Notamacropus eugenii: one gene and its partner. The protein of the gene in region 1 purifies or fractionates together with the protein of each later gene. This does not show direct contact. Links are inferred from orthologs where the notes say so. Each region holds a gene or a part of one and is shown on either strand. Other genes may lie near its edges.

Region 1 (10,550 bases):
CCCCTCCTCAACTCGTTCCATTAGCTCATCTGGACAGGGAAAGCTGGGGACCTGTTGTTTCTCAATCCCTGGTTCTTCAGACCCCAGGCTACTGCCCATTCCAATGCCTACCTTCGCTTTGGCCCATGGGAGCTTTGGAGCAGTCAGGTGCTCACTATCCTTTGGCTTGGGTCCATCAAAAGATGGCCCCTGGAGAAGGTAGGCAGGTACCACCTGGGCTTGGAGTTCCCTCCTAGTGCCTGAGTGGTGAGCTTGGGAAATGTGTGGGATGGGAGTGCTGGCCAAGGTGGGTGTCTGGGTGGGGACGAATCCTTGACTCTTCAGAAACGTAGGCATTGGGGTCCTAGGTGTATCCACCATGGGAAGGGGTGTGGGGCTCAGGACAGGAGGCCGGGGTCCTGGACGTCGGATCTCAGGTGTCACAGGGGTACACAACTCCACCTTGGGGTCTAAAAGGATAGAGGGGATAGGGGAAGAGTCAGTATGTGAACTTGGGGGAACACCCCCCTTATTTACAACATTCCTACTGAACTTCTCCTCCTACATTCCCCACCACCACATTCCTGAATCCCTTTCCATCATCAAGATCTGGCCTCAAATATCTTCCCTTGATTGAAGGGGATTCCTTTGGAGTGGAATTTATTCTCAAATTTGGGTTTCAATTGGGGCAAGAAGTCTAAGCTGGGCAAAACAAGGCTCACCATGTACCAGCAAGAGGAATAAGAGTTGGGGAATGGTGTCAGGGTAGTGAAGGAGCCTTCCCCTTGATGGGTGGAGGTCAAGGCAAGGGGGTAAATTGAGTAAGAGCCAGAGGCACTATCTCCTTACCAGGGAAGATGACAGTGACCTTTGAGTCTATATTGGATGTATGCAGCCGGGAACTCTCAGCCTCCAGGAGGGTCCTAGAAACAAAAGAAAATGTCCTGGGTCACTCCGATTGTCTGATAAATTAAACCAATCCAGTATGGTAAAATGACTTCCCTCTGCCCCAACATGACAGGTTCATTCACCAAATGAGAGATCCAAACACAAACACATATCCACAGACAAAGATTACAGCACTACAGACACGCAAATGTGGCAGTCACTCACTAAAATACTTCCACACATTTATGCCATCATGCAAAGTCACACAGCCACATAGAGACAAACTCACACATCACAATCACACATGCATACACACGTTGCTTTGGAGACTGTGTGTCTCTCCCACTCTGGAATCTATTCCCTCATGCCCATGACCTCATCCTCTCCCTGTGGAGGCTGGGGGGCACTATTCTCATGCTAATCAGCTGCCATTGTCCAGGCAGCCATCTGGAGGGTCTGGGAAGGGGGGCTTCCTTGGGGAAGCAGGAATTCTCAAGCCGTTCCCATGGGATGAGCTCCCCCATCTTGCCATGTAGAATGAAGGGGAGCTGTGCTCAGACAATAGTAAATGAATTCAGAATTCTAAACCTTTCTGCACCACACCCCTACAAAGAACCCAAGTTATAATTCCTCAGGGCCTCCTCTCCTCTTTCCTCTCAGTAGTTGGACTGGGGGTCAAGGTTCTTGTGTTGGGATCTCCAAGCGCTCTGAAACTCAGGTCACTTTAAAGATAGGAATCATGTCCATCCCCCCATCTCTGAGTAGGACATGCTTCCTACCTACCTCCCCCCATCACCAATGGAAAATGGGAAGATAATGTCTTACAAGTCAATTAAATAAGCATTCTTATATGCCTTTTCTCCCTGTCTCCAAGGAAGCAAAAACCATTGATATTTCTCTGACCATGAAGTCCTTCCTTTTGTCTAACCTCCTCTTTCTGACAATGTTCATTCCTCCCCAACCTTCTTTCCTCCGGGTCCTGATCAACGCCCCCATCCTTGTGATCCTTCTCATGTGCACACTCTTGCTGTCCCTCTCCCATCTCACCCCATCTAACATTGTATCCTTGTGCCTTTCCGACCTAGCCCAGGATTCAGGACTTTCCTGGGGGCTTAGGACAAAGATCAGAAGGGAGATGAGCTTGTTAAGCCAACAGCATAAGCCCTCTCCCATCTTCCTGCATAAAACTAAGGAGGCAGGTTTAATGAAAACTAGGCAATGGCACCAGAAGACAAAAACATCCTAGACCTCAGCTCTTTGCCTCTATGTATCGAACTCATCTGGAACCCAGGTCTGATGCAATAAGGATGTGAAGGGATGTGTGGGAAGAGAGATGTAGAACTTATGGGGAAAGCTGATGTAGTAGTTCTCTCTCTGGAGCTGAAAAGGGGCTGTAAAAGAAAGAAGGGACCTTAGAGATATAGTTCAAAACCTTTGTCCTGCATATGACCATACTGAGACTCAGAGGAAGGGAAGAGACTTAAAGTTTAAGATCACATGGTAAGTTAATGGCAGGTCTGGGATTTGAACCCAGCTGTTTTGACTCCTAGTTCAAGGATTCTTGTTTTCTGAACCATGATGTTCTAGGGAAGAAGGGTTCTGGGAAAGGGACCTCACCTATACGTGGCCACTTCTAGGCTAAGGGACATTTTCAGGTGCATCAGCTGTTGTCGATCTTCCAGGACCTGAGCAATTTGGTTGTGGAGATCCTGTTTCTCCTGCTCCAGGGCCTCCACAGCCAGCTGCAAAATAAGGAACAGAAAAATCAGCATCTCCCTTCCATTCTTCTTAAAGGATAGGAAGGTCTTCCCATCCCTCCTGTTCCAATAACAGCTTATTCCTTCTTGTTCAGTTCTCTGGGGAGATGACCCTTACATATGCCTTTCCTGAGGAAAATTTCCCTTTGGAGTCCCAGAGGCAAGAACTGCATCCTCTCTTTTTTGGGGGGAGGGAGAAGGATTATTCAACAATGTTCTCAAAGGGTATGTATCGCATGGCTCAGCCCTGTGAGGATGCTCAGCCCTCCAACATTGAACACCAAAGCAAATAGATAAAGGAGAAGAGAGGAGAAAGTTAAAACAGAAATAGAAGAGGAAAAAAGGAAAATCAAAAGAGGGAAACTACTACCTGAGAACTTGAACAATTTCCTACCCTCTATTTTTCACCCTCCCCACACCCAATTTTGGGTCCTTTTCTTTCATTCCAAGCTTTAGTTCTCTCTCCCCTCCCCGCCTCCACATTTCCTGAAATCCTCCTTCCTCAAATGAGAAGGGAAGAGGAGAGGGGGCAGCCAGTCCTTCTCTAAAACCCTGGCCCCCCACTCCCTATTCAGGTCCAAACTGGGAGGTTGTTTTCACAGCTGTCAGTCACAGCTGTGTGTGAGACCAGGGACAGCTGTCTCTGCTCTTCTGGAATGTGGAGCTCCCTCCTGGGAGCAGTGAAATGAGACAGAAAGGGGCTGGAAATCTGGATGCCTGGGTCCCCTGACCCCTTCCCTGAGCTCTGTTAAACCCATTGGGAATCTTTTGTTGGCTCCATAAAAGCTGCCCAAGTAGGGAAGAATTCAAAATTGCTGTGGACCAAGGAGAGAAGGGTGCCGGAGGTATAGGTGTGTGGTGGAGGTTGGGGAATAAAGTGTTGATGATGCTTCTGCAAAACTGTTTGGAAATATAAGGGTTAGCATTCTCTGTCTCTCTGTCGCTCTGTTGCTGTCTCTCTTTGTCTCTGTCTCTCTGTCTCTCTCTTTCTCTGTGTGTGTGTGTGCGCGGGTGTGTGTGCGCGTATGAAAATTATCAGCCCATTCTCTTCATCCTACCAGGGAATTCTTGAGGAAAACTTGGGGATACCCCAAAGAACATCTTTGGGTGTTGGAGTTGGGGATTCTAGGTGCCCTATATTTAGAATGTGATCCTTTTCTGGCATTGGGAATGTCTCCAATGACAGAGGGAACGTGGACTTTGCTCCTCTGGCCAGGTCCCTATAGACAGGATAATTCCGCTTTCCTTTCGAACTCTCCACACTTTGGAGAGACTAGGGAGCTTGATCTCTTCAATCCAAAGCAGATTCCACCAGAACTTGGTCAGTAACAGTAGGAAGACATGTCAGGGCTGGAAGACACTGAGTAAGAGAGGCTGGGACAAGGGGAGACGGAGCAATCAATGGGCAGGAGCTGGGAAAGAGGAAGAGGGGTTCGGAGACAGGAGCAGAGGGGCAGGGGAATGGCGCTCACCTGGAACTTCTCCCCTGACTCCTGTTGCTGCTGCCATTGTCCTTCCAGCCTCTGCTCCAGCATCTCTCGACGGCCCTGGAGGGCTGCCCTCTCTACGTCCAGCCGCTGCACTTCTCGTTGTCCCTCTCGGGTCCCTTGCATTGCCTGGCCCAGCCTCTCCCGGGCCTGTCCCAGGGAGGCTTCCATGCAGGCAACGCGGGCCTGGTAACCTTCCACTGCGCCCCTCCACGCCTCCCCGAAAGTGCGGGCTAAGTCCTGCACGTCGGGGGCAGGGGCATTATCTGGAGCCCTGCGAAAGGTCTCCAGGGCAGAGGCGGAGCGTGCCACCTGGGCGCTTATTCCCGCCCGCTCCTGCTCATGGGCAGCCACCAAGGCCTCGAGCTCCTTCTCCAGCTCGGCTGCCTGGTTCCCCAGACACACCCCCGCCCACTTCTCGGCCTCCAGCACCCGGCGGCTCTCAGCCATCTGCTCCTTAGCCCGCTCCCGGGCTAATCGCTGCTGCTGGCATCGGCTTGCCACCCCCTCTACCTCCTCCAGAAGATTGTCCCTGGCCACTTCAGCAGCATGCTTCTCGCTCCAGCGCTGGTCCAGCAGGGCCCGCAGAGAGTTCAGTTCCTCCTCAGCTTGGCTTCTCCAGGATGGCTCCCCAGGTAGCTCCCGGAGACTCCCTATCTCCAGCCGAAGCCTCTCGTTTTGCTCCTCCAGGGACTTCACCCGGGACAAATAGGCTTCCAGCCTCCGATTGAGCTCCCACATCTGAACAGACTCCTCTCTCATGCAGCCCTCCATCATCCTAAATGCCACCCCGGAGGGAGAAGGGCACCGAGTGAGAGGAGAAAGGGGCGGGTCTCCGAGCACCTCGGAGAGCCGGGAGGAGAAGCAGGGTGAGAGGGCTAGGAAGAGAGCGGGGGAGCTTCCGGAGAGACTTGGAGAGGAGAGAAGAGCGAGTCCCGCTATTCATACTCCCGCCGGCTGGGAAAAGGGGGCGGAGACAGGGAAGACTTAACCCCTTGACAACCAAAAGCTGTGCCCAACGTTTGCATTGGGCATCTCTTTTAGGCAGTTCTGTACAGGGTGGGGATATTCCGAGAAGGTACAGTCCCTGTCCTGGGGAGCCACCAGCCTGATTGGAGAAAGGATTTAAAAAGGACTTGATAGTTGGTGTCTTCAAGCAGTGGGAGTTCTGTCATGTGGAAGAGGGCATACATATTCTGCTTGGTTCCAGAAGGCAGAAGCAAGATTTCCATGAGTGGAAATCCGCAAACAGGAAAGTTTATTCTCGATGTCAGAAAATACTTCCTGTCCAAAAGTGGATCTAGTTTCCACTTAAGGTAGTGAGTTCTCCATCTTCATAGGTCTCCTAGCAGAGGCTAGATGACAAGCATTCACAGTTAGAAATGTTTTTCTAAGGGATTCCTGTCCAGGAATGAACTGAATGAACAAAAATGAACTCTTTGCCCCCTTCCAGCTTCAATGTTCCGTAATTCTATGCTTAAGGGACAAAGATACAGACACAGAGAAAGAGACAAGGAGAGAAAATCCAGCTCCACAGAGTTCTAGGTAGCTAGGTAGGGAGAATGAGAAAGCAGAACAGAAAGTGATAATTTAGGGAGGCTTCTTGGAATAGAAAAATATGAAAAAGGGTTGAGAAAGAGTAAGGAATGGACACAGCAGAAAGTTGTCATCCAGCATTTACTAAGTGTTTACTGTGTTCCAGACACTGTGCTAAATTCTGGGAGTTTAAAGAAAGAATATATGGAAAATAATTTATGAAAAGACTCCGAGAAGACAGGAGAAGATGAGATATAAGGGCCGGGTCAGGGTAAGGACCAGCAGCTATAACTAGAGTCTAGGAAACAGGGCCAGAGACATTGTGGGAGACTCTCTTTCACACAGTCAACCTGTCTCATCTTCCCCATCAACTTGGAGTCCTGCATCAGGGACTGGTGGAGGGTTAGGACTTGGGGTGCCAAGGGCCTGCAGAACTTCTTGGTGCTACTTGACTCTCATTCCTCCTGTCATTTTCTCTAACCTGTGGAGGACAAAGTCCTTTTAAGTATCTGGTTTTTTCTTCTAGAAAACATTCTAGTCTTCAGTCTACCTGGAAGGGAGACTAAAATTCTCGAGAAGAGAGCGCCCTCTGGTGGCTAAATAGGCTAGTTAAGAAAACAATAGATAAGTTTGTGATGCAGATGAAGAAGTCTAACCACCTCTCTGGGTTTGGAGAGGGCAGGTTTCAAAGGAATAACAGGTGCAAAGTACAGACTAAGATACATTTTGTCATAACAAATGTGGCAATTTGTTTTGCTTGACTATACATGTTTGTATGGGGGGGAAAGTGACCATTCCACCTTTGCATTTAGGAGGCCTGAGCTGACAAGCTCAGCATAGCCAGTTTTGTTTGTAAGACCTTAGAAAAGATGGTTTCAGAAATCTCAGAGATAGGATAGGTAGGATCCCATCGCCTGAGAATTTAAAAGGGAAGATGACTGAAAAGTGGGAAATTGGAGGAGGAGGAGAAAGGAAGAAAAAAGAAAAGAAAAAGGAAAGCTATTCTGATCATAAAAATACAAATGATCTTTTGGAAGAAAAATATGTAAATAGGTAAAAATAAAGGCTGATTTTTGTTGTTATTTTTGTTAAGTTGCTGAAAGAGTTCTCCAAAAGTTTTAGACTTCAAAAAATATAGAGAAAAGAAGGGAGGAAGAGGTCATGGAAAGATCCTGAAGGGACTTTAAAGACTATCTCATCCCACATCCAGTTTTAAGAAGAAACTGAGGCCAAGAGAAGGCAATTGTGTGACCTTGGAGCTAGTTGCCAGTGGCATAGCTAGGCTTGAATGATTATACAGTGTAATGCTCTTTCTAGTTATTCACTGCTTGAGCAACCAAGAATGAACATAAAAACGTTGATCACTGACCTGTCAGAATTGTATCAGCAAGGCTAAAGCCCAGCTATGAGCACTGCCAAAAATTCTAGGGAAAATAAAAGGAGCTTTTGAAGATAAAGTTAAAATAAGAAGACAATCAGTCAAGGGATGGTCACAGAGCTTGATTCTCTGTAGATCTCAATACAAGTCTTTTCTGTACTCTTTCCTATCTTTCCAGTCTTCATTCCACCTTAACCAAGCCAACCACTTACTCTTCCTTCCAGTGACACTGACTTTGACATTTATTCTTCAAGCAAGGCACTCTATCTCCTGACTCTTGACTATTACCCTGGCTATTCCCTGATCATCTTGTCTTCAAGTCCCAGCTAAAAGCCCTTAGAGGAAGCTTTTCCCTGTCCTCCTTAATTCTGGTGCCTCCCCTCTGTTGATGATGTTCGATTTAACCTGTATATATTTTGCTTGTACATCATTGTTTGCATGCTGTCCCCATTCTCCACCCTGCCCCCTTAATAAGAGTAAGCTCCCTTGTGAACCTGAATGTTTGTAAGGGAAGGCTAGTGGAATCACTAAACTAAATCAACTGAAGTTATATTCTAACGTGTTATCTTTGTTAACTATGAGCTAATCTCAGTTGTTTCTATGGTGCTAAAGGACTGCAAGTGCTGTCATCCCCCTCTGAATTTCAGCTTCCTGGGTAAAACCAAGTTACCCTGTCCAGTTACAGCCCTGGCCAACATTTATACTTTAAAATTTGCAAAGCACTTTACATTTATTATATCATTTGGGCCTTACAAATAAGGGTTTCTATTTAAGTTCACAGTTTCTGATAATGATCTTAAAAGTTCTTACTATTTTTCTCCCTAAATGATTCTTAGAGATTAACTTCCCACCCCAACACTGATCCTTCTAGGGCACACAAAACTTGCTCATGGGCGAAATCCTTCTTATTATCTAATTTTGGTCTCTCCTAAGCAGCTTTCTCTCTCCCTCCCCCTCTCTCTCTCTCTCTCTCTCTCTCTCTCTCTCTCTCTCTCTCTCTCTCTCTCTCTCTTTCTCTCTCTCTCTCTCTCTCCTTTTTCTCCCTTCTCTTTCTTCCCAGGAGAGGTCAGTGCTTCTCTCCAAAGTCTGTGTTGCATTGCTTTTTCACCAGAGACCTTGTCAAGGCAACATTTCACTGCTTTCAACAGGTGGCAGGGTCCATTCCTCAATGTCATTGTCCTTTACTCCTAAAAGACTCCATGTGGAGTTTTTTTGTACTCCTCTATCTCTGTTTCCCTTCTCCCCAAAAGTCCGCTATTCTCCATTAGAAAGTGTTCATTATGTCTTTTGCCAAAAATTGCTTTCAGACAGCTGGACTATGCATTGAGAAAGGGCAGCTAGGTGGCAAAGTGCATAGAATCACCAGCCCTGGAGTCAGTGGGTCCTGGGTTCAAATTTGTCCTCATACACCTGGACAAAATCACTTAACCCTGTTTGTATCAGTTTCCTCATCTCTAAAATGAGCTGGAGAAGGACAATGGCAAATCACTCCAGTACCTTTGCCAAAAATAAAACCCAAATAGGGTCATGTATAGTTGGACACAACTGAAATGACTCAGCAACATCACACATTGAAAAAAGATCAAAGTATTCCTGCTCTCTCGTTTCTCCAAGCAAGAGTACCCTGTTAAGTTTAACCAATAAGTTTCAGATGATTTAGGGATGTAATGAATTAACCCCAACATGGCATGGATGGAAATTGGTCTGTTTCCCCCCAAAAATCTATTAAAATGAGACCTCAGACTCCCCACTCCCTCCACCCCCTGTAGTCTTCTTTTAAAAAAAGAGACCTTTTTAAACCTTCTCCTTTATCACACCAAAGCCTATGCTCTATACAATGGCTCTTTTATTCCCTTCTCCCAGCACTTGAGTAGTATGCCTCTGGCTCACATCAGTGTCCCAACTGATTATTTTAAAAATTATTTTAATTTATTTTTAATAATTTATTATCAATTATTAATTATAACAACAATTTATTAATATTATTTGTATACTATATATAATTACATGTTGTTAATATAATAATAAATTTGTATTTTATTTTAATTATTCTGAATTATTTTAATTCAGAAGAGTACTTCTGTTCTCTTATGTTTCTGGACCTGGAATAGACACTTATTAACTGTGTGACTCTGGGTAAGTCATTTAACCCCTGTAGATCTCAGTCTCCTCTTCTGTAAAGTGGGATAATAATATCACCTTCCTCCCAGGATTGTTGTAAGGATAAAATGAAGTAATATTTGCAAAGCCCTAAGGCACTATATAAATGCTAGCTACTATGTAACATCTCTCCATTCATCTTGCTGTCTTCTCTCTTCCTCCTGAACCATTGTTATCTAAATCATACCAGGTTAATTTCCGAAAGTGGGCAGCTGGGTGGCTCAGTGAATAGAGTGCCAGGCTTTGAGTCAGGAAGACCTGGGTGGGGGTAAGGTGATCAGGAAGGATATATAAGATATAGACATAGATAAATAATTTATTTATTTTTAGTTTTCAATATTCATTTCCACAAGATTTTGAGTTTTGAATTTTCTCTTTCACTGTCTCCTTCCCCCTCTCCAAGACAGCATGCAATTTGATACAGGCTCTACTTATACCTTCATAAAACACATACTTTCACATTAGTCATAATGTAAAGAAGAATTAGAACTAGTGGGAGAAATCATGAGAAACAAAACAAAAAAAGAAAAGAAAAGGAGAACGAATAGTCTGCTTTGATCTGCATTCAGATGCCAAAATTCTTTCTCTGGATGTGGACAGCATTTTCCATAATTAGTCTTTAAGAGTTGTCTTAAATCCTTGCATTGCTGAGAAGAGCTAAGTCTGTCAAGGGCAATCATCACACAATATGGCTGTTACTGTGTACAATGTTCTTCTGGTTCTGCTCATTTCACTCACCATCAGTTCATATAAGTCTTTCCAGTTTTTCTGAAATCTGCCTGTTCATCATTTCTTATAGCACAATAGTATTCCATTACCATTCATATACCACAACTTGTTCAGTCATTCCCCAATTGATGGTCATCCCCTCGATTTCCAATTCTTTGCCACCACAGAAAGAGCTACTATAAATATTTTTGTACATGTGGGTCCTTTTCCCATTTTTATAATCTCTTTAGGATACAGATGTAGAAGTGGTATTGCTGAGTCAAAGGGTATGCACAATTTTATCTATGGTACCTTTTAGTAGGATGTAGTTTCCTTCCTTATCTCGATGTATTTTTCCTTTTATTTTGTCTGAGTTCAGGATTGCTACCCCTGCTTTTTTTTTACTTCAGCTGAAGCATAATATATTCTGCTCTAGTCTTTTACCTTTACTCTGTCTGCTTCAAATATGTTTCTTGAAAACAACATATCGTAGGATTACGGTTCTTAATCCACTTTGCTATCCATTTCCATTTTATGGGATAGTTCATCCCATTCACATTCACAATTATGATTCTGTCTGTGTCTTTCTCTCTATCCTATTTCTCCCCCTCTGCCAATTATGCTTTTCTCTCTCCTTTTTCCCTTTACCTCCTCACT
Region 2 (10,588 bases), on another chromosome or scaffold:
GAATGTATGACCTTGCAGGTACAGGGATTATTCCTTCCCCTTCAGAAATGTCTATATTTTATCTTTTAAGATATATTTGGTGGGACACTTTCTACTCTACAAAATTCAGAGACACTTGTAACACTCTCATTGAAATAAATCAATTAAGTAATGGATAAGTAAAAAAAAGATCCAATTTTGAGTTTAAAAAAATTGGTTTGCTTTTTGTTCAACTCTGAGAATACTTATGGCAAACAGTTCAAAGAAAAGTGCCACATGGGTCCTTCTACAGGGCTGAAGAAAACATATTACCTTCATTTAAGTCCCAAGATTTGCTATCACCTATTTATAAGTGTATAGGACAAAAGTCACTCATTCTTCACAAATGAGTGAATAAAGACAACAGTCCATTTTTCTATAACATGTAATCATATCTTTTGTAATTTGACAAATCCACTTTGATTTAGTTTGGTAGATAGGCATTTTTACCCTGAAATGGTGACTTACAAATTTTTAAAAACCCCACTAAAATGTCACTAGAATGTGATACTGACAAACTCAAGTGAATGAAAATGTGATCAAATCATTCAAGATCATTGCTTTCCTGCCAATCCTTCAAAAGGGAACTGCATTACCCTATCCTCCTCTCCCCATTCATTTTTGTGATCCATTTTATGATATAAGGCACTTTGTAGGTCATGTAGTCCAAACCCCTCATTTTCCAGTTGAGGAAACTGAGACAGAAGGCGCTTAAGTCATTTGCTCTAGAGCATACAAGCAGGAAACTACAGAGGCAAGATTTGAATCTGAGTCTTCTAATTTCACATCGTTCACTCTTCTCTCTTCTCTACACTTCACAGTTTATCCTGGTATAAGTATATATTTGTATGTTTGTACACATGTATGTATATATCTTGGATCTAAATATCCTAACACTTCCATCCAGGAGAGACTAGAAAAAATCTTAATCTAATAATGAGCTTAAAGTATGCTCTCAAAAGTGCATATATTTACTCAAAGTTTAAACAAGGTAACCATTCTATACTTCATTTTCCTTTTTTTTTCTGAAGCAATGGGGTTAAATGACTTGCCCAAGGTCACACAACTAATAAATGTGAGGCTGAATTGGAACTCAGGTCGTCCTGACTCCAGGGCTGGTTCTCTAAGCACTGTTGCCACCTAGCTGCCCCTTCATTTTCCATTCTCTTCATACAGCCTCAGATTTCTCAAAGTTCTGGAGCATAACATATCTGTTTTGAAAATGCCACTCGAAACCCAAGTTTAGCTTTCTACTCTGTTACCCCTCACCCATGAGAACACCTTTTTAAAGAAAAACTTTTCTGGAAAAGGAAATTACAAACAAAAAGATAGAAGAGGGGTCCTATCAGGACCAACTCTGACTAAAGTCCTTTGAAAAGTTCTAATGTCATATCTAATGTGCTGCTCAGGTTTAAGTATAACTTTCTCTTATAAAATACTCGTCTCCAATTAAAAGTGATTACATATTCTGTAAGAATGCAGCCTGTTGCAAGCTTTCCTGTGAACACAAAGACTCCTATTCTTTCTCTCTAGGCGACCCCACTTCCCAGAAAGTCTCTATCTACATTCCATAGTGAATCCCATAGAAACCACTAATACTCTATAGCCAGCTGGACAGATGGCTCCTTTTCACCCTTATTAAGATAAAAAAATAGTTGTGTGTGGGAGCCCTTTTGTTTTATGCCCCATCTAGTTTGCTCTACAATAGGACTCCCCCTTTTCTCTACCTCCCCTCCCCCATCTAGTTTCTGTCTTGATTCTATTTATTCACAGCAAGTCCTTCCTAAAATAACATTTATTTTACTTTTTGAACCACTGTGTGTTGCACTTCTTTTGGCTTGGAAACAATACAAAAATGTCAAACTTCTTTGACTGCAGCAAATAGCAATCCCACTCAAATTGAGGTTGCTCAAATCTGCGTCTCAGAACGCAAGGGAAAAATGAAGACTGTCCCGTTCTTTGAAAACTTGAAACAAAGTTAAAAGCTAAGGAGGATTATATTACCGGCCTTTGTATTCTCTGGTGACACCCAGGCCAATCCCCCAGTTCCTGGGGAGCTTGGATCTGGCACCTGGCCGCCGCTAGAGGGCTGCGCCAACAGACTGGAAGCTGTTCGAAGCCCAGTTGGGGTTAAGGACCAACTTTTAGAACTGCGTGTCCGATGGACAAAGGTGGCGGGGAAGGAAAGCTACAAACCTGTCTGAAAGACTGCAAGGTGCTCTCGGCTTCCTCTCTCTGCATCATCTCCTCTTGCAACCTGAAAGAGTGACACATCAACCAAGGAGGAAGCGGGAAACCGCCAACTGGGCTGGACAGGCCACACCCAACCACCCCACCCCACCCCATCCCCGGGGGAAAGAAGCAATTCTTCAAGGGTAGACCGCTAACTTGGGCTCTTTCTCCTGGGCTCCTTTGAGGGAGTGGGGGCTGCAGCACCTTGGGGACCCTCTGAAGTGAGACTCGGAGAAGTGAGCAGCTCAGTGAGGGTGACCAAGGCCGTGGCGTCATTGCCCTTTGTCTCGCCTCCCTCCCTCTGGCCATAATTTTCTTTTTTTTTTCCCGAGGCTCTTCGGAAAAGAGGCAAGGAAACTTGGGGAAAAGTTAGTGAAACTCTTTCCCGCCTCCAACAAGGGGAGAGTTAAGAGATAGGAGACATTCGAGCAACTTTTTAAGGCCAGTGCATGGTTAGAATAGAGAGGGAGCCGTGGAGAGCTGCAGGAGATGAAGGGCGGGGCGACCTCCACACAGATGCCAGACCACAGTCCCCTACTTCTCTTCCTTCCCCAGCCCGGGCTCCCTCTCCTCCCCACCCCCCACCCCCACCCCAGGGCCCAAGGGCGTGGCAGCCCCAGAACAGACCGGGGATGGAGCCGCCAGTCTGCATCCCTCCTCCTCCCCACCTAGGTGAAAGGGACAATGGACCCCGGCCAGCTAGCACGCTCTTACTTCTCGCGGAGCCGCATGATGTCCTCGGCCAGGTTGTCCCTCTCCACCTCCACCCGGGCTTTGTCGTTGGTAAGCTGGTCCACCTGCCGGCGCAGCTCCCGCATCTCCTCCTCGTACAGGTCCCCCAGGCGCGACTTGCCCTGCCCTTTGAGCTGCTCGAGCTCGGCCAGCAAGATCTTGTTCTGCTGCTCCAGAAATCGCACCTTGTCGATGTAGTTGGCGAAGCGGTCGTTGAGCTCCTGCAGCTCCACCTTCTCGTTGGTGCGGGTGTTCCTGAACTCGGTGTTGATGGCATCGGCCAGAGAGAAGTCCACCGAGTCCTGCAGCAGCCTCACTCCCGGGATCGGGGCGCTGCTCCTCAGGCGCACGGCCGACGAGCGTGTAGCGTACACGCCACCTGGGGAGGACGAGTACACGCTGCGGGTGCTGCTCGGCCGGATGGCGCTGCCCAGGCTGTAGCGGGTGGTCGAGGTCACGTAGCTGCGGCTGGAGCTGGGCCGGCCGCCGGCGCTGCTGCCGCCGAACATCCTGCGGTATGAGGAGGAGGATACGGACCGGGTGGACATGGCTGGAGGGCTGCTGCGTGGAGCGCGACCCGCGAAGAGAGAGGGGCGGTGGCGGTGGCGGCGGCGCTGGCTGCAGCTAAGGCGACAAGAGCCGAGAGACTGGAGAGGCAGAGAGCGGGACCCCGCTTCGTGGGCGACTCTTATATCGGCGGAGGGGGCCCCCGCCGTTGGCCAATCCCCGGCTACTCGCCAGCCAATGGGGACCCAGGGAGAAAGGACAGAGTAGGGAGGGTACGGGGAGAGGGTGTTCAGGGGTGGGGTCAGGGTGGGCGGAGGTGCCGCCCTTAGCCCTCCCCCGTCTCCCCCAAACTGGGCGGAAAGCCCCATCCCGTTACTTTTGGGGCTGGGCTCGGAATCCTGCTGATTATCCCCCGCAGGAGGGGGGTGATTCTCACCTTTGGGCACATTGACAAAGTAGGAGAAAGCTTAGAGGAAGTTGGGGGACCCACTCAGAACGCGACATTGGAAAAGGAGGAGAGAGGTCTAGGAGACTCTTCCAAAGAGGCGTAGTAGGAGGGGGTGGGAGGGGCACCTTGGTTTCCAGCCAAAAGGGCGAAAGGGAGGCCCGAGGAGCCAGAGGGACTCTGCCAGGAAGGACCAGAGTGGCGAGACCCTGGCCAAGGGGGAGGAAAGGCGGGGGGAGAGTGATTTCTCGGCCATAAGGGAAGGAGGCAGCGAGAAAGAAAGAGCCTGAGATTTGGGAGGAGGGAGAAGGGGGCGTGCACTCGAGAAAATGAAGTTGTTCAGGCATTGTTACTTCCCCTTTGTGCCAAGCGGAAGAAGAGGGATGGGCCCATTTCTGCGAATTCATTTATCCTGCTGGGCCGTCCTCGGTGTCTAGGGACCCTGCGGGTTTTGTCCGGAATCGGACGGTCTGGAGTCCGAGGGAGGGGAGGCGGTAGAGCAGGATGGAAGGAATGCGGAGGGGGAGGAGGGGGGAAGGGACCGTGAATCACTGGAGATGAATCACTGGGCCGTGGTTGCTTGGAGAGGCTCGTCTCCAACGCTCAGCTTCAGAAACCGTTAGATAAACTCTCTCCTCCGGTCTGGATGCGCTCATTTTCTACCCAACTTAGAGACAAGCAACTACTCTGAGCTGTAGCAGACGATGTCTATGTGCCCCCCCTTAAAAGGGCCCCCTCCTGCCTGGGTACTGCTTCTCACTCTTCTATCCTGAAGAGGGCTTCGCTCCAGGATGAAGGGGTGTGGCTCCATTCTTACTAGGAGGACATTTCTGTCGATTTGTGCGTCTGAAGAGCCTGAGTTAGGGGGTATCCACCCATCCCCTCTAGGTATACGGAAGGGGAGAATCTTCAAAGTGTCCACGTTTCAAGCCTGTGTTTGGGCCGTTCTCCTTCCATGAAGTAAATCTTTTAAATGATCAGAAAGTTTTATGTAAGAAGGAAACCATATAAAGTTAACCTTCCCTTCCAAAAAAGCCATGTTTTGAAACAAGCCTTTCAAAAGCAAATTGAATTGACTGATTTTCTCATTTTGTAGTAATATCCAGAAACTATTTCGGAGGTATAAATATAGCTCCATTAAAAGATTAATGAAGTGCTAACCCTTAAGACCAGATTTAACTAATGAATTATTTTAAATGGGAAGCAATTATACCACAAATGATGAAATAGGGATGTTTGCAAGAACGTAAAGTTTGTATTGCGAGTAGTACAAAACATTACAGCTTCTCATTTTAAAAGTGCCACCGATATGGAGAAATGATACCGGCTTATGAGCAATCGTAGAATATTGCAGGTTCTTCTGCTCCTTGGCTGTGAGATGGGTTGGGGGGTGAGAGGGAGTCATGGAATTAACATAGGAGCCAAGGACCCTGATCCAGGAAACCAGAGGTCCTGTCATGTACCAGTACTAGGTAAATGATAAGAAGCTCAATGTGATGTTAGAGATTAATAAGACAGAACTCAAACATTTTGCCATTAACTATCTAGTGAGGTTAGAACAGTGTTGAACAGTGGGGACGATAGGCATGAAGTAACAGCTTAGAAGCTACAATTATCCTAGTTTTAGAATGATTTTAATCCCTTGAATTTTAAATCGTAAAACTTTAAACCCTTGAAAGCATTAACTAAAGGACTACTACAAAAATAAATGCATCTTGACGCTCCTAGGGATACAGAGAGGAAAAAAAGTAGGATCCTGTTTTCTTTTTCCCTTTGGATGCTGAAAGTTACCTGTATTTAAGGAATGTAGTTCAGAGTTAAATAAAGAAGTTTATTATGGGTCTCTTTCTACAAGCCTCTTTCAGTCAAGACTGTAGTTTGTTTTCCTCATTTCAGTTAAATTGGGCAAATGGAGCTGACAAGGTTGAGCTGTGAGAGCATTTGAAGCACAAATCTTGCACTGTGGCTTTCTTTATTCATGCTTTCCCTGGGAGGCGAGGGTCACACGAAAAGAACATTCCTGGGGCTCACTGTACTGGCAGAGCAGCCTGTGTTCCATGTTACCATCCTGTTTTCTGAGAGGTCTTTATTTTAACTGCTGCTTAGGAAATGTAAGTCCATTGTGAGGTTGCCTGGAACCCTTAGAATAAGAAAGCCTATCTATCACCCCATAAGGGAAGAAAAGGGGGTAAAGGCTCTGTCCACCGTATAGAAGAAACTAACATTCTATATTTAAAAAACTGTTCAGCCAAGTTTAGTGTTCTGTACCTCCTGGGAACTCTGTGAATGCTTATTGACTGACTCATTGGCAGAAGATAAACCTCTGAATAAACCGAAAAGAGATTTTGGTGAGGTTTGACAGTATTATTTTTAAAAAGGTCGAGAAAGTCCAGCTTGCATTCTTTATGTTACCAGTATCCTTCTTTTCACCACTTCTCTTCAATTAGCTGTGATTTTTTTCAACATTTGTTTTGACAACATGTTTGGCATGTCCTAGTACCGCTCTTATTCTGTGGACTTTCTGGCAAATTACAGAACCACAATTACAAAGGACCCCAGAAACTACCATCCAGTCCATATCTGGACAAGATCGCTGTCTACAGGATCTAACAAGTGCTGATTCCCCCATCCATTTTAAACCCTCTGGAACTGGAGAAGCCAATACCTGTTGCTTACTATCTATGTGTCCTTGGGCAGTCATGTCTCCCTGAACCTCAGTTTCCTCAGCTGTAAAGTGAGAAAGTTGGACTAGATGACTTTGAAAGACCATCTCTAAACCTATTATTCTATGACCTCTGCAAGCAGCACATTTCACTTTAGCATTGCTCTAATTTTGGGAAAGCTTTTCTTACATCAAGGACATCTTTGCCTCTTTATACCTTCCACTCATTTTTCCTACCTCTGCTCCCAGGGTACAAAGAGAACAAATCTAAGCATTCCACCATGTGGCAACCCTTCAAATATTAGAAATTGGTTATCATGTCTTCAATAAGCTTTCCCCCCCTCCATACCAAATATTCCCAGTCCACTAGGCACACTTTCCTTTATTCCATCAGAAATCACCTTAAAGTTTGACGCGATTACTGTGAGAAACACTTTTATGCATTTATTTCAAGAGCCTGGCAGGCTTTAGCAAGTGTTGAATTAATTCTGAAGCAATAAATACAGTGTCCAGTAGAATGTTTAGCACACAGTGGGCACCTAACAAATATTGCTGATTTATTAAATATAGTAAAAATGGATGTATCTAAGATGGATGTATGTAATGGATGTATCTTGCCTTAAATGCAAGAACTAATCCTATGTTCTATCTAATTTTCTTGATGACAAGGAAACTACTGACTTCATTCTTACATTTTTGGGGGAGATTACTGTGTAAGCCTCTTCAGAAAGCATTCAAATGTTATTTCATGTACTAATGAAGAGAAAGAAACAAGCTTTGAAATGATAGAAAGCAAAGCAATTTATAAGACTGAGAGATGTAGGGTTGGTACTACTCTTATCTAAACTGTGTACTTCTGGTGCCTAGCATGGTGTTCTACTCACTGAAGACAGCTAATAAGTGTTTGGTATTCCTTTTGCTTTGAATTTGATTGGATCATAATTAATCAAAATAATTGAAGACAGAAAATAGTATATTAAATGTTCAATCAGTTCTTAGAATTTGAACGGGTTGCCTTGTGCTCCATAGGAGAATGCCCATATTAGTGAAATCACAAAAGTCATCGAAATATTCAAATTTCAGACTGTTGACTCATTTGTAGCTTGTGGTCCACTAAATCCCCCAGATTTTTTTTCCTACAAATCATTGACTAGCCACATGTTCATTGTCTTGAATTCATGAAGCTAACATTTTCAAGAGAAGTGTAAGCCTATCTACTTAGGGCTTTTAAATCCCATCTTATTAGACTCAGCCTAATATTCTGGTCAGTCCAGATCTTTTGGATCCTGACTTAGTCATTCAACTTGTTAGCTTTTTCTCCAAGCTTTTTGTCATCTGGAATTTTGGTATGCCTGCCATCTGTGTATTTGTCCAAATCATTGACAAAAAATGTCAAACAATCTCTGGGTCCAAGTACAGATTCCTTAGGCCCTCCATTAGTTTTGATATAAAATCTTTAACTCATTTAAGCTTGGCCATTCAACCAGTTTTTAATCCATCTGACTGTAACACCAGTCAACTAGCATTTATTCCAGGGACAACTCCAAGTACTAGGAATACAAAGAAAGACCAAAAAGAAAATAGTACCTACCCTTAAGCAACTCAGAGTCTAATGGGGAAGAAACATATAAATCAAACAAGATAGATATAGGATAAATTTGGAGGTAACATCTATTCCTCAGCTGAAGAACATAAAACTTCATCTACAGCTGATCTACTCATCAAGTAACGCTGTCACAAAAAGAAGGAAAATAGAAGTAGTCTGGTATGACCCATTCTTGATGAAACCATGCTGATTCTTTGTGATAACTTCTCCCTTTTCTAGATGTGCATTAACTCACCCTTTGAGAACACATTAGTTCCATATATACAAAAATATTTATAGCAGTGTTTGTCACAGAATCACAGAATTTTAAAGTTTTATAGAAGCAAATAACTAGAAATACTTTGGGATCTCATCATTCATTTGACTAGTGACTAAGAAAGTGGTGACAAATGATATAATGGAATATCATTGTGCCATTAGAAATTAAAAATATGAGGAATTCATAGAAACATGGCAAGGCATATGACCTGACAGATCGATATAAGTAGAACCAGAAAACCATGTGTCAATCATTCAGCAAGCATTTATTAAGTGCCTAGTATGTGCTAGGAGATGTGATAACAGTAGGGATAAAAAAGCCAAAACAACATATTTTCTGACTTCAAGAAGCTCAAGTCCTGAGCTTCAAGCCTTCAGGGTGGATTGAAAGAACAGTAAAATGAACATGAGCAGTGTGAAATTGTAATAAGTTTTGCTCCAGTGAAGAGATGAGAATGTATCTTCTCCTTTAGAAGAAGTGAAGGACAGTGGATGTGAGATGTTGTATAAACTTTCAGGTATGATCAATGTGTTGTTTGATTTCACTGAACTGTTTTTAGTCATAGGAAGGCTCATGTGGTAATAGATACAGCAGTGGCAGAGAGATATTTTCAGAAATAAATGTACTATTAAAACCAAAAGTCACAAATATAACTTTTTTTTTAATTTTAGAATTTTGTTAGGAATCTATTCAAGCTCCCTGGTCCATAGTTTGCAGAGTTGATTCTGTTCTCTTTTTTTGAAAATTGGGACATTTAATCATTTCCAATTCTTTAATATCTCTCCATGATGTTTTAAAGACTACTTATATTGGCAATGTTACCAGTTCTTTCAGTACTCAACGATAAGTTTTTTGTGGTTGTTTTTGCTCCATCCTTTCCAACTCAAAGTTCATTTTCCTTGACAGGGAAAGTAGAAGTTGAACATATAAGATGAACAGCTCAGACCCTTCTCTGTCATCAGTTATTATTCAGTCCCCCAAGAACAACAGTCATATCCCTTTTTTGGTTTCCTTCTTTTGCCTCACATACTTAAAAGAACAAATCCTCTGATTGTTTTTTTCGTTTGCAAGCTTTCCCTTATTCTGAGCTTTAACATTCCTAATGAATACACTTCTTCCAGGTTATACCATTCTTTTGCACTCGTCCTTCACTACATACTCTTGCTTCTATTGGCTCTATATCTCTTTTTAAAATCTAAGTTAATGAGTTCCCTGTGCATCCACATTGATCTCTTTAAACAGCCACCCCCTTTCCTCCTCAACAGAATTATATCCATTTCAGAATTTCAATCTTGATAACTTCTCATTCCTCCAGGGTTGACTTCTCCAGACTAACATAAGGTCATGGAGTACAATCTATCCTTTCTCTGAACCTTTTGAAGCATGTATGTTCTTCACAAATTTAGGAATTCTGTCAGAGAATACCTAGCATGCTTTTCTCCTTCCTTATCACAAATTTCTAGATGGAATGGTCATTTTCCCCTTATATTTCCATCATTTCCAACCCAGAAATCGGTTCTTGATGATGTTTTTTTTTTTAAAAAGGATTTTCCATCCTTGATTCTTCTGCTTTTTGCAGAAGAGAAATTATAATCAAGTCATTTTGCAAAATAGAAATTATAATGAAGTCAATAAAGAAATTATTAGCTGCCCTGCTTGGGCCAGAGAAATAGAACTCTTGTAGATGTACAGAGAAGTTTCTTATCACTTATGAGTTTGTGCCAAACTTGTCATCTGTCCCCCAATTTAATCTCTTTATTCTATGTGTCCAAATAATCTGCATAATAAGCCTCAATGATGATACCACTTCAGTTTTGTCTCTATTGCTCTTCACACAAAATACTTTCTACCATTGTTCTCCCCGTTTTGGTTGCTGGATTTCCTTGAAGGAAGTATATCTATTTAACACAAATTGCTACATGCCCAGCTCTGCTTTTACTGCTTTCCCCCCAAATATTCCAGAAGCATATACCAGTGGACATATGCCATATAGGCTCCATCTACCAAATCTTAGTGATGCCCTATGAACTCTAATTTTCCTCTATACATTAGGATCTTTAGAGGCAAGTGGAGCAGGGGATGTCATGGTGGGAATAGAATCAAGATGACATAAATTCAAATTTGCCC

Evidence for each region.
Region 2: the proteins of NES (region 1) and VIM purify together in Homo sapiens (affinity purification with mass spectrometry; 3 studies listed by BioGRID and IntAct, counting the BioPlex papers as one, with this or other methods). This does not show direct contact. The link is inferred for Notamacropus eugenii from reciprocal best matches to the Homo sapiens genes NES and VIM.

Annotation. Positions count from the first base shown.
Region 1 is NC_092873.1:380,822,042-380,832,591, forward strand, and holds the start of NES (nestin), read right to left. Parts: upstream 5,036-10,550; 5' UTR 4,889-5,035; coding exon 4,097-4,888; intron 2,610-4,096; coding exon 2,485-2,609; intron 903-2,484; coding exon 829-902; intron 450-828; coding exon 1-449. UniProt on the Homo sapiens protein: Required for brain and eye development.
Region 2 is NC_092874.1:57,864,160-57,874,747, reverse strand, and holds the start of VIM (vimentin), read right to left. Parts: upstream 4,218-10,588; 5' UTR 3,858-4,217; coding exon 2,965-3,857; intron 2,276-2,964; coding exon 2,215-2,275; intron 1-2,214. UniProt on the Homo sapiens protein: Vimentins are class-III intermediate filaments found in various non-epithelial cells, especially mesenchymal cells. Vimentin is attached to the nucleus, endoplasmic reticulum, and mitochondria, either laterally or terminally.